Linked DNA regions of Drosophila melanogaster. Changing the gene in region 2 together with the main gene of any one other region gives a genetic interaction. Each region holds a gene or a part of one and is shown on either strand. Other genes may lie near its edges.

Region 1 (5,584 bases), on a different chromosome or scaffold from region 2:
CAGAGTATGTATATTAGCTTAAATTAAGTCCTACTTAATCCTGATTAACTATTCTACTCCGCCGTTGGAACCGTATTCAGAGTAAGGCGTCGTAGCCTGCCCAATACGAAGATTTCGTCTATAGCTTTTTTGGCATAGAATTTTTGGTCCTCGCTGAGTTTGCGGTACTCAAGGGACCAGGTCTGTGCATAAACATTGGACTCCTCGACCCCACTTGCGTCGAGTGGTAGCGCGATCTCGGGAATGTCCGGAATACGGGCTGAAGCTGCAGTGGAATCTCCGCCGCTGACCGCTTCCCCCACAAAGGCGGCAACATCGGCAGGAGAGGGTTTTGTTTCCAACTCATCCGACATGGATTGTTGGTCATCATGTTCCTCATGATGCTCCTGGTCCGTCTCCTCCTTTCTGTCGTTGGATTCGCCCTTGGAATTGTAGCAGCAGAATGCCTGTTTCTTGAGATACTGCAGGTGACACCGGTGACGCCTCAGGTTCGTTGTGGATTTGTGGGTGAAGGACATAATGCTCCTGCAGCCGATGCAGAACAGTACGTGCTCCAGAAAGCTACCATCGTCCTTCTTGATCTTGCGATACACCCGCCACACAGTGCTCCGTGTGCTTTTGTCATTAACAGCCAATTGGTAGACGCCGGTTTCAATTTTCTCGTGAATATCATCGAATTTTAGCGGCATCTTGAATTATTTTGCTATTTTGTTTTGTTTTGTTCAACTAGTCTTTATCATCCACATCGATTGTCCATAATCGTGCTAATCGATTGCACCGCCCAGGTGGCAACCCCGATTAGAGGCACATTGCGCCGGCAATTTTACATATATCATTTTGTTTTTATTATTTTTTAAAGTGTTTTCTTGTTTTCCTACCTGGTTTAAATGGCGGCATTGTGCTTAGACTTTCTCGGCTTCCAGGTGGGGGTTGGAATATTGTTGTTTGGGTTAGTAGCCGGCATACTAAATGGCTTTAAGTTTCCAAACAGGAGGCACTGAAGAAGATGCGAGATGTGGACGACAAGATTATATATGCACTAAATGCCCTGCCAACGGAGTCGTTTAAGGGTCAAGTGAACAGTGAAAGCACCTGTCGCGATCTGTACGCGAAGCTCCAGGAGTCACACTTGGCCAGGGTAAATCCTGATTAAGTACAACACACGGGGATCTTGACAGATAGCTTCTCCTTGCAGCAAGAAAGCATACGCAGTTGCATAACAATTTCGGCTAGTAATCTGAAGAAGCTAAGGGAAAAGCGGGAGACCCAGCCGGATGATGTGGATACGGATAACCAGTTTAGGGCGGAGCAGCGCAAGGTAACCGAAATACCTAAGTCTTACTCTTAACTGATGCCTATGATCCTTTCCAGCTGCGGGTTCTCCAGGCCGAGCTCAATGTCGAGGACATCATTAAAGATCGTTCCTACAAGACCTTCAATGAACGATGCCGGTCCTATTTTCATGCTGGCCAATAGGTGGAACAAATGCAATGACTAGTTTTAGGTGGATTTATTAGCAGAAGTCTCATGGAACTGCCAAGCCAGAAGGCATTTACATGCACTCCGTTGTATTACAAGTTGTTTACAACAAGTACATAAATATAACAGTCTAAAAAGCACAAACTTTATTCGTCGCGGGGCAGGTTGTATGTAGCGTAAACCGATCCGACGGGTACGCATTTTAGGTTGGCCAAGGCTTCCAGGACGCGCTGGGTGGCATCCTTTAGGTCGTTGTACTCGTGCAGCAGTTCAATGATCTTCTTTTTCTGACCCTCTGACGTTTCATTTGTCTTATTGGCCGTTTTGCGCGACTTTTTCTTATTTTCTTTCATGTTTAAATTAAATGCAATTGGATTGGAATTACTGCTATCGGTTGATATCGCTATCGATAGCGCGTCAGCTGTGTGCATTGCATTTTGACAGTCCGGCATCCCCGTTCCTCACAACGTGTAAAATCTCCCGTCCCCTTGCATGATTAAGACGAGAAAAGGATTCTCCGGAACAGGTAAATTGTGTTCTAATTACGTATCTGAAGGCGCCTCTTCTAACCAGGAGTTGTGGTGGCTCAAAGAAGGGCGTAACCGGAGACCAGCGAATGGCTCATGCTGGCTGACCTAAGCCCGCACCTATACGCACAAACGCAAAGCAGCCGTGTGTGCACATATGTACATACACGTACAATGAAATGTGAAAGTGTTGTGATTGTGCATTTTGCCAGGAAAACTGAATAGTTCATTAAATGTGAACCTATTATATGTAAATTATTCGCCTGACAACGTAATCTTTATGTTTCCGGAAATGTAAAATTAGCCTAGAGCAGGCGCTAAGCGAATGTTCAGTGGTTACAGGGCGTAATAATCCTGGTGGGAGTGGATGAGAACATTGGGGAACACCTAGTGATGATTATAAACGTTCAATTCAACTAGTTCGCATTCCACGACGACCTCTACCTATATTTTCTAGATTATTTGCACTTTCGTTTAGCATTTGATCACAGTAGCGGCGAAAATCAAGTCGCACTCACTTTTTATCTGAAACCTGTCTTTACGACTTAAATTATTCTGTTCTCAAAGAAATATTTTTTTTAACTATTTCAAGCTTTTGAATTGCCAAGACGACGAAATGTCTGCCAGCCACAAACAGCGTTATAAAAATGCCGCCTTGGACTCCACAGAGATGCGTCGTCGTCGCGAGGAGGTGGGCATCCAGTTGCGAAAAAACAAACGCGAACAGCAGCTCTTTAAGCGACGCAATGTGGTTCTTGAGCCGGCTACATCCTCAACATCAGCCGGAGTGGAGAGCAACACCGATAACGAACAGCAGGTATATTTTGATCAAGTTTGGCCTGATAGCATAGTCTTAACTATCTCTCCATTCCAATGCAGGCTGCCGACATGCACATGGCTGACAGCAGCACTGGCGGTCAAAACGAGGAAGCTGCTGGAAGCGGGGCACAGCCATCCGTAATCAACGAGGAAATGATTCAAATGCTCTTCAGTGGACGTGAAAACGAACAGCTTGAGGCGACTCAAAAGTTCCGCAAACTGCTGTCCCGCGATCCCAATCCTCCCATTGAGGAAGTCATCCAGAAGGGGATAGTGCCACAGTTTGTCACCTTTTTGCGAAATAGCGCAAATGCCACGCTGCAGTTCGAGGCCGCCTGGACGCTAACGAACATCGCATCGGGCACCTCGCAACAGACCAAGGTGGTTATCGAGGCCGGGGCAGTGCCTATCTTCATTGATTTGCTCTCCAGTCCCCATGATGATGTTCAGGAACAGGCCGTGTGGGCCCTAGGCAACATAGCCGGTGACTCACCCATGTGTCGAGACCATTTGCTCGGCTCCGGCATTCTAGAGCCTCTCCTGCAGTAAGTTATAAATAATTATATTGATAAGATTGCGCCAAAGTAGGTGTGACTTCTTGCAGTGTATTGAGCAACTCGGATCGCATTACCATGATACGGAATGCGGTGTGGACACTTTCAAACTTGTGCCGCGGCAAAAGCCCTCCCGCAGACTTTGCCAAAATTAGCCATGGTCTACCAATACTGGCACGGTTGCTGAAGTACACTGATGCGGATGTACTAAGCGATACTTGCTGGGCCATAGGCTACCTGTCAGATGGTCCCAATGATAAAATCCAGGCTGTAATTGATGCGGGTGTTTGCCGTCGCCTGGTTGAGCTGCTATTGTAAGTAGTCCTGCTGCGCCATTACAAATTAAAATTACACTTATGATTTGTTGACCTATCCTGGCAGACATCCTCAGCAGAACGTGAGCACAGCTGCTCTGAGGGCCGTGGGCAATATTGTGACAGGCGACGATCAGCAGACCCAGGTGATATTGGGGTACAACGCTTTGACCTGCATTAGCCACCTGCTGCATTCGACGGCGGAAACAATCAAGAAGGAGTCGTGCTGGACAATCTCAAATATTGCAGCCGGCAATCGTGAGCAGATCCAGGCCTTAATCAATGCCAACATATTCCCGCAGCTGATGGTTATCATGCAGACGGCCGAATTTAAGACTCGCAAGGAGGCCGCATGGGCCATTACCAACGCAACCAGCAGCGGTACGCACGAACAGATCCACTACCTGGTGCAGGTTGGCTGTGTGCCGCCCATGTGCGATTTTCTCACCGTCGTCGACTCGGACATCGTCCAAGTGGCGCTAAATGCACTTGAAAACATTTTGAAGGCAGGTGAAAAGTTCCAGACGCGACCAAATCCCTATGCTATTACCATCGAGGAATGCGGAGGTAACGCTATTTATTTTTACTTTCAAATTTCCATTTAAATATCGATTCTGTTAATATTATATAGGTTTGGACAAAATAGAGTATCTGCAGGCGCATGAAAACCGCGACATCTACCACAAATCATTTTACATTATCGAACAGTACTTCGGCAACGAAGAGGAGGATAGCCGGGTGGCTCCCGTGGCAGGCACGCAACAGTTTGAGTTCGATCCGGACAACATGCCCAGCACCGGATTTAACTTTTAGCACCCTACCGCGCAGGACATCGTTTAACTATTCAAATACGAATCCCTCAAGTCCTAAACACACAGAAGCATATGCAACAGGAAGCGAAGCCTTGCCGCCGGGATTTAAATGAAGGCGGCCAGAGCACGGACATGAAAAATAGACCGCATGAGAAGGCGTCTGCCTTGCCCAAGTGCAGTCACTACTAGCATTTAAGGAAAGATGGTCGTTCGGTCGGCTCGTTTCTTTGTTACAATCACTCACCTGCTTATTGTATCAGCGTTTAGTTCTATAATTTTCGAAGTGGTCCAGGACCAGGCATGACGAGATTGCTTTCATTTAGTTCGATTGTACTAATTTAATATGTTATACAGAACCCATTGTATATGTTTTTGCTTTCCTCAAATTGAGTCTGTAAATATTTTCCATTTTATATATATATTTTCCAGCCCAAGTACGATGAGATCCTCACATGGTGTTGTTATACATTCTGATTCATTTGATCATTTTGTTATGCGAATCGCCGAATGTAAATTTGTTTAAATTATAAAGCATTGTAATTTAATTTAGAGGACATCAATAAACAACATCTAGACCACAGCTATGCAGATTGGCATAAGTTTTTATTGAATCTTTAAGCTTATAATATCCTCATGTGTAAATAATTTTCGGAATCCTTGGAAATATCCTAGTGGATTCAGCACCATATCTCTTGACCTATAATACCGACACCATCGACTCCAGTCACGAACTTAGGTGCGCTTGACGAACTGCACCTTGTATGGTTTTGGAGTAAGCGTAATCCCAGGCAGAAGCACCATTGATGGAGACTCTCCCGCCGGCAGGACAACGCTAAAATGCTGCACGATCCGCACTAGAAACGAGAAGATGCAGGCACGGGCGAGGGCATCGCCCAGACAACGGCGTCTGCCCATGCCGAAGGGCATGAAGTACTCGTCCTTGAAGCACTTGCCAGCCGAATCGATGAACCTCTCTGGGCGGAACTCCAGCGGATCCTTCCAGTGCTCCTTATCGAGATGCACTGAACGTAGGCTAATCAGAATTGTGGCATTTTTCGGAATGTCGTAGCCACCCAGCT
Region 2 (4,971 bases):
TCGTTGAACTGATGACGATCGCTGTGATTGTTAATCTGCGTTTCCATCTGCATCACCTGGTTCAAGCGCTCCAAAATCACCAGCGTGGTGCGCTGGACCACCAAGTAGCAATCCAAGGGAGAGTTCTTGATCATATCCATAAGTGCCTGATAAGCAGCACATCGCAAATTGGCTTGAGCTCCGTCCGATCGATCAGTGGTCTCCAGCAACTGGGTAATGATGTACTCAAAGTACGGGGACAGGGCGTACGTCTCCGGAGTCTCTCCGTCGTTGGTGACCGCTGCCTCCCAAGCTGCATCGGAAAGTCCAATGAAGGCCCAACACACGTTGGCTGCTACACGCGGCTCTGACTTTAGGCTCTTCACGAAGCACTCCAAAAGCGTTTGAAGATATGTCTCGTTGATAGCCGCCTCGGGAATTATCTGTCAGGAAAAAGCAGTAGAAGGTTAGTATGACAATATGAATCACCTTAAAAATCACCACTACGCACATCGCAAATACGTCCGAAGGTCCAGGCGATGGTATCGCGCACGATAACGCTGGAGTCGTACATCAGTCGAATGAGCGTGGGCATGGCTTGCTCCACGAGCGGCTTTAAGGTATTGGTCTCCAATCCATTCAGCACGGAGCCGAAAGTCATTACCGCTGCGTCGCGGAATCGCCAATTAGGTGACTCGATGTTCTCCTTGATGAAGGGAAGCACATGTGGCACGATCTCGTCCTCGCAACATGTGGCCAGCACCATGAGGCAAACGGAGGCGGCCTTCGCCGGGCTCCAGGTGTCCTCGTCATCGCACTCGTCCTGCTTGGTTAATTTCTCGACGAGCACAGGCGTCAGGAACTGCAGAGCACCTCGAGCATAGTGCTTGGACACTCTCTGCGGAGCGCGGCCCTGATCAGTGGCCTCCTGGCTTTCGATGGCCAGATCTATCTCCTCATCGCAGACGTTCGACCAGAACTCTATGCCCTGCAGCGCTACAGCATCGTTATCAGACTTCATGGCCGCCAAAGTAATAGGGAAAAGAGCCTGTGCCATGTAGGGCTCCATGTACTGGTAATAAAGGGTCATAATCTTCACCAGGCACTGCAGAGCGGCAACGCAGATTTGCGAGTCCTGGCACTGAGTGGCCTCGCACACCACCTCCATGATGAAGTTGCGCTCCATGTCTTTCTCAAAGTTCGATTTGGTGAACTCCAACGAGTTGTGAAGGGCCGTGGTGGCCGCCAAGCGTACATGATTGCTCGGCTCTACCTTTCTCATGCCGTGAATAATAGCAGTCAGCACATCGTTCGACTGGTTCTCCATGACGCCGAAACGAATGTCCTGGCAAATGTAGCCAATGGCCTCCAGCGCCGACTCGCGATGCATCTCGCTGGATCCTTCGCTGACCACCTTGTTCACCAGTGTCTGGATGAGCATGGGCCAGCGGTTTATCGGCAGCTCAATCACGGCCACATAGGCCACGCACTGGGCGGCGCAGGAGGGTCGGGTGTTCTCGGTACCCAAAGCAGCCAGGATCTGAAAGTAAGTCGCAGTTATTCAGTGCCAATTGTACAAGTCATATGTTTCAACATCAGCGTATGTAACTTACGTTATTCTTGATCAACTCGCGGATCTCGCTGGGAAACTGATGCCAGCGATCCTGGTACTGTTGGCTGACCTTCTCGTCCTTGCTGGTCAGGTGGTTCTTCAGCTGGAGACCGGCTGCCATTCGCGCCACCGCACTGTTGGCCGTGTTCACCAGTATCTCTGACAGCGCCTTGAGAAACTCGGGCAGGTTGCTGGCCGCCGCCTGCTCCAGAAAGTTCTTCGCCGATAGCAGCTCATTTTTGTCTGAAAATGCGTCATTTGGTTGGTTAGACATTTTTAATTTCCAATTATGTCAACGAAAGATTTTATTTGTGGGCCTACACACGCCCACCATTTTGGGTCGGCTTAAAGCTTTGGTATCAGGCCATTGAATTTTACAACAATTGACTTTTGGGAATGTGAAGGCAAGATAGGAACTTTTAGGCAAGGCGTATATAGTGAGAATATTGTTTAATAAGAATACAATAGATGGTGAAAGAAGTGTGTGCATATGAAGAGCTAAGCAGTAAGGTCTAGTAATGAATTGTAGCGGTGGAGCATAAAATCTTCAGGCAAGGGGCAAGTTTGCAGGCATTCCTTATCAGCAACCGGAAGAACTGGCCGCCAAGCATACGGTGGTGACTCCGAAGCGACGCCTCATCGATTCCTAGAGTTAGTGAGGTTATGTCGCAGGCGGTTCGTACATCCTTAATTGTAGGAGCGCAAGCATTGCGAATACATACAGACGCGCCGCCAAGTTTCCCTTGGAGTATGTACGTGGATGCACATGTGTGCGGAGGCCCCTAGCAACCAAACATATGCGAGCGCCTATTGCAACCCTGCGCAACATATAACGCGCGTCCCTCCCGCCAATCGAAGAAAAATCCATATTTTTCGGATCTATACACACACGTTTGTAGCAGTGGGGAAACTCACCTGGCGACACCGTCTTTTCCAAAATGGCAATCAATTGCATGGCGATATCGGAAGTCATGTCTTCGCTCTTTTCCTCTCTATATGATTTCTACTTCACTTTCCGTTTCTTTCTGCAGCTCGTGCGTCTGTGTGGGTGATGGAATTTTTGCGTAATTACTAGACAACACTAGTCTGTCGGCTGCAAATGGTGGAGACAAAAGAGTTAAAGTTATTGGGCTGCTCCGCTGAAGCTGGCGATTTTATTTCGACAGGTTGCAACACCTTGATTGTCAAAAGAATTGATTTTTTCGCACACACGCACACAACAAGCGCGTTCAGTAGAACTCTTCATTCTACTCACATTGTTGTTTGGTTATTTTTCGGGAACGGTAAAAAAGCGCGGGATTCCTAACGGCGATTTTCTTAGTTATTATTATAAGCCTATTTAATGGTGGCAGAACCTTTATCTGCTCTTCGGGAAGTGCAGGCAATATATTTCTTGTGTCTCCGATTTGAAATAGAGCTGAAACGAATGTCGATTTTTATTTGATAGCACTGAGTTTCGATGAAAAAGGCGACACCTATTCGATTGCTTTATTCGAACTATCGATAATTTTTAAATCTAATAACGTATTAATTAAATATTCTTAAATGCGTAGGAAATGTGCAACCATTTGACAAAATATATTATTAGTCAGGAACGATAAGACCAAAATACTTACTACTTGTATTAAAACGCGTTTGCCTCCCCAAAAATCAATCGTTAAATTTGAATGATTGTGCTTATCGAAAATTTTCATATTCAAAGATAAGCACGGAAGCAAAACCTCGAACGAACTAAATAATCGAATACTTTGACTTAAGAGTCGTAGGTAAAAAACTAACAAATGAACAAAATTTGATTACTATATTAAGAAACAGTGGATAAAAATAGTAATATCTTAGAAGTATCACACGTATACGTGTGTATATTGGTTGCATTCGCTTACTGAACAGGGGAATTAATTAATTTAAATATAAAAGTTTATTAAGTCTACCAAATTTCGTTTTGCACGTAATAATAATAAGAGCTAAAGGTTTTCGCGGTAATATTTAGCTTTGCAAATGCTGGTAGTTTTTTTGTCAGCCAGTTGGCAGCCCTCTCAGCTGTACTAGGTGGCAACGCTGCTACAGTGCTGACGTTCGGCAAAAAAGAGGAAACGTAGTAAAAACACTCGAAAAACTCCGTATATTCCGATAAATATCCAGATAGTACGGTTTGTGCGTGGCCCGCCGATCCGGAAAGTGTGGCAGAGAATCGCGGACACGGCCACGTTGTGATTACAACCCGTACAAGTAAAGGAAGAAGGTCTGCTACTCCTGCCGTTCGTTGGTTACCCCAATTCGAGATGATCCTGCTATCCGGACTTCTGCCGCTCCTGGGCGTCGTTCTCTTGCACCTTGCGACCCCGACACAGGCCTTCTATCTGCCCGGACTGGCACCGGTCAATTTCTGCAAGAAAACCGACGTCTCATCCACATGCAAGGTAGGTGTATACGTATGTGCAGAAGTGCAGATGTACATATGTACGTAGATAGTGGGTGTGTTTGCCCCACGCCCGCCACAATTAGCAAAGGCACTGGAACTAGTTATGTACATTGGTTCTATATTCCTCTAATGGTGGTCACAGGCGGAAGCACTGATAAGCGCAGTAACTAGTTATATGTGGGGTCCATATGTGGCCCTCTATCTCAACTTCTGCTGACGTTGCCTACGCCAGCTCTCTTTCCTAGCGACAGCTAGATGGGAGTTCTAATGTTGGTTCAGCTGGCTCGCGAATGCGATTTCGGGGGCTCCCGACCTTAAGAATCTTAACATAGTGGCGGCTAACCAATAATTGAACCAGGGAACGCGGTTAGCTTGTCATGCTTCCTTGCATTATGTTTGGGTTATTTTCTTTTTAGTAATAATAGTATAACACAATAACAATATAAATTCAGGACAAAGTATAATTTTTAGTTTGATATCCCAAATAGATGGGGTTAGCCCTTTTAAAAGATGACCTAACTATTGGATGATAAAGCGTGAGCTATTGGTTTTGTTTGCTTCATCTTATCTTTAAACAAATCTAAACAACTTTTTAATATACCCGTAGGTCAAGAAATCCTAATCGGTTTATACGCCCTTAAATTAGACGTTGCCCAATGATAAGAATTAATTAAGGTGTTTCACATTCAATTGTTTCTAACAATCTAAGAGAGCTTTTTGATAAGATAAATTTCTAAGAACCCAAAGTAAAAGCAAATTACGGGGTCAAATTATCGAACGCATTTGCAAACTTTTGGAATTTTTACCAAACTTTAATAATTATTTCCACGATAAGATTAAAATACACTAGTATTATCAACAGTTGTCAATCCAATTGATTGATCTAATTCCTGATTATCTTCTTCAGTCGGAAATCTTGTTGTACGTCAACCGCTTAAACACTGAGGAATCCGTAATA

What was found. Genes that interact genetically often act in the same process or in processes that back each other up.
Region 1: of Fs(2)Ket (region 2) and Kap-alpha1, changing one suppresses a phenotype caused by changing the other (phenotypic suppression), as found in Drosophila melanogaster (one study listed by BioGRID).

The regions. Positions count from the first base shown.
Region 1 is NT_037436.4:19,805,315-19,810,898, forward strand, and holds Kap-alpha1 (karyopherin alpha1), read left to right. Parts: upstream 1-1,917; 5' UTR 1,918-2,005; intron 2,006-2,598; 5' UTR 2,599-2,622; coding exon 2,623-2,823; intron 2,824-2,885; coding exon 2,886-3,370; intron 3,371-3,429; coding exon 3,430-3,693; intron 3,694-3,760; coding exon 3,761-4,260; intron 4,261-4,324; coding exon 4,325-4,506; 3' UTR 4,507-5,084; downstream 5,085-5,584. Other genes in the region: CG34116 (uncharacterized protein), read right to left, coding at 54-689; Ccdc58 (Coiled-coil domain-containing 58), read left to right, coding at 888-923, 992-1,138, 1,196-1,318, 1,372-1,476; CG14104 (uncharacterized protein), read right to left, coding at 1,626-1,832; Cyp305a1 (cytochrome P450 305a1), read right to left, coding at 5,238-5,584.
Region 2 is NT_033779.5:20,732,966-20,737,936, reverse strand, and holds the start of Fs(2)Ket (female sterile (2) ketel), read right to left. Parts: upstream 3,027-4,971; 5' UTR 2,847-3,026; exon of another isoform or gene 2,768-2,846; intron 2,685-2,767; 5' UTR 2,565-2,684; coding exon 2,507-2,564; intron 1,835-2,506; coding exon 1,593-1,834; intron 1,520-1,592; coding exon 491-1,519; intron 423-490; coding exon 1-422. Other genes in the region: TM9SF2 (transmembrane 9 superfamily protein member 2), read left to right, coding at 3,874-4,011, 4,921-4,971.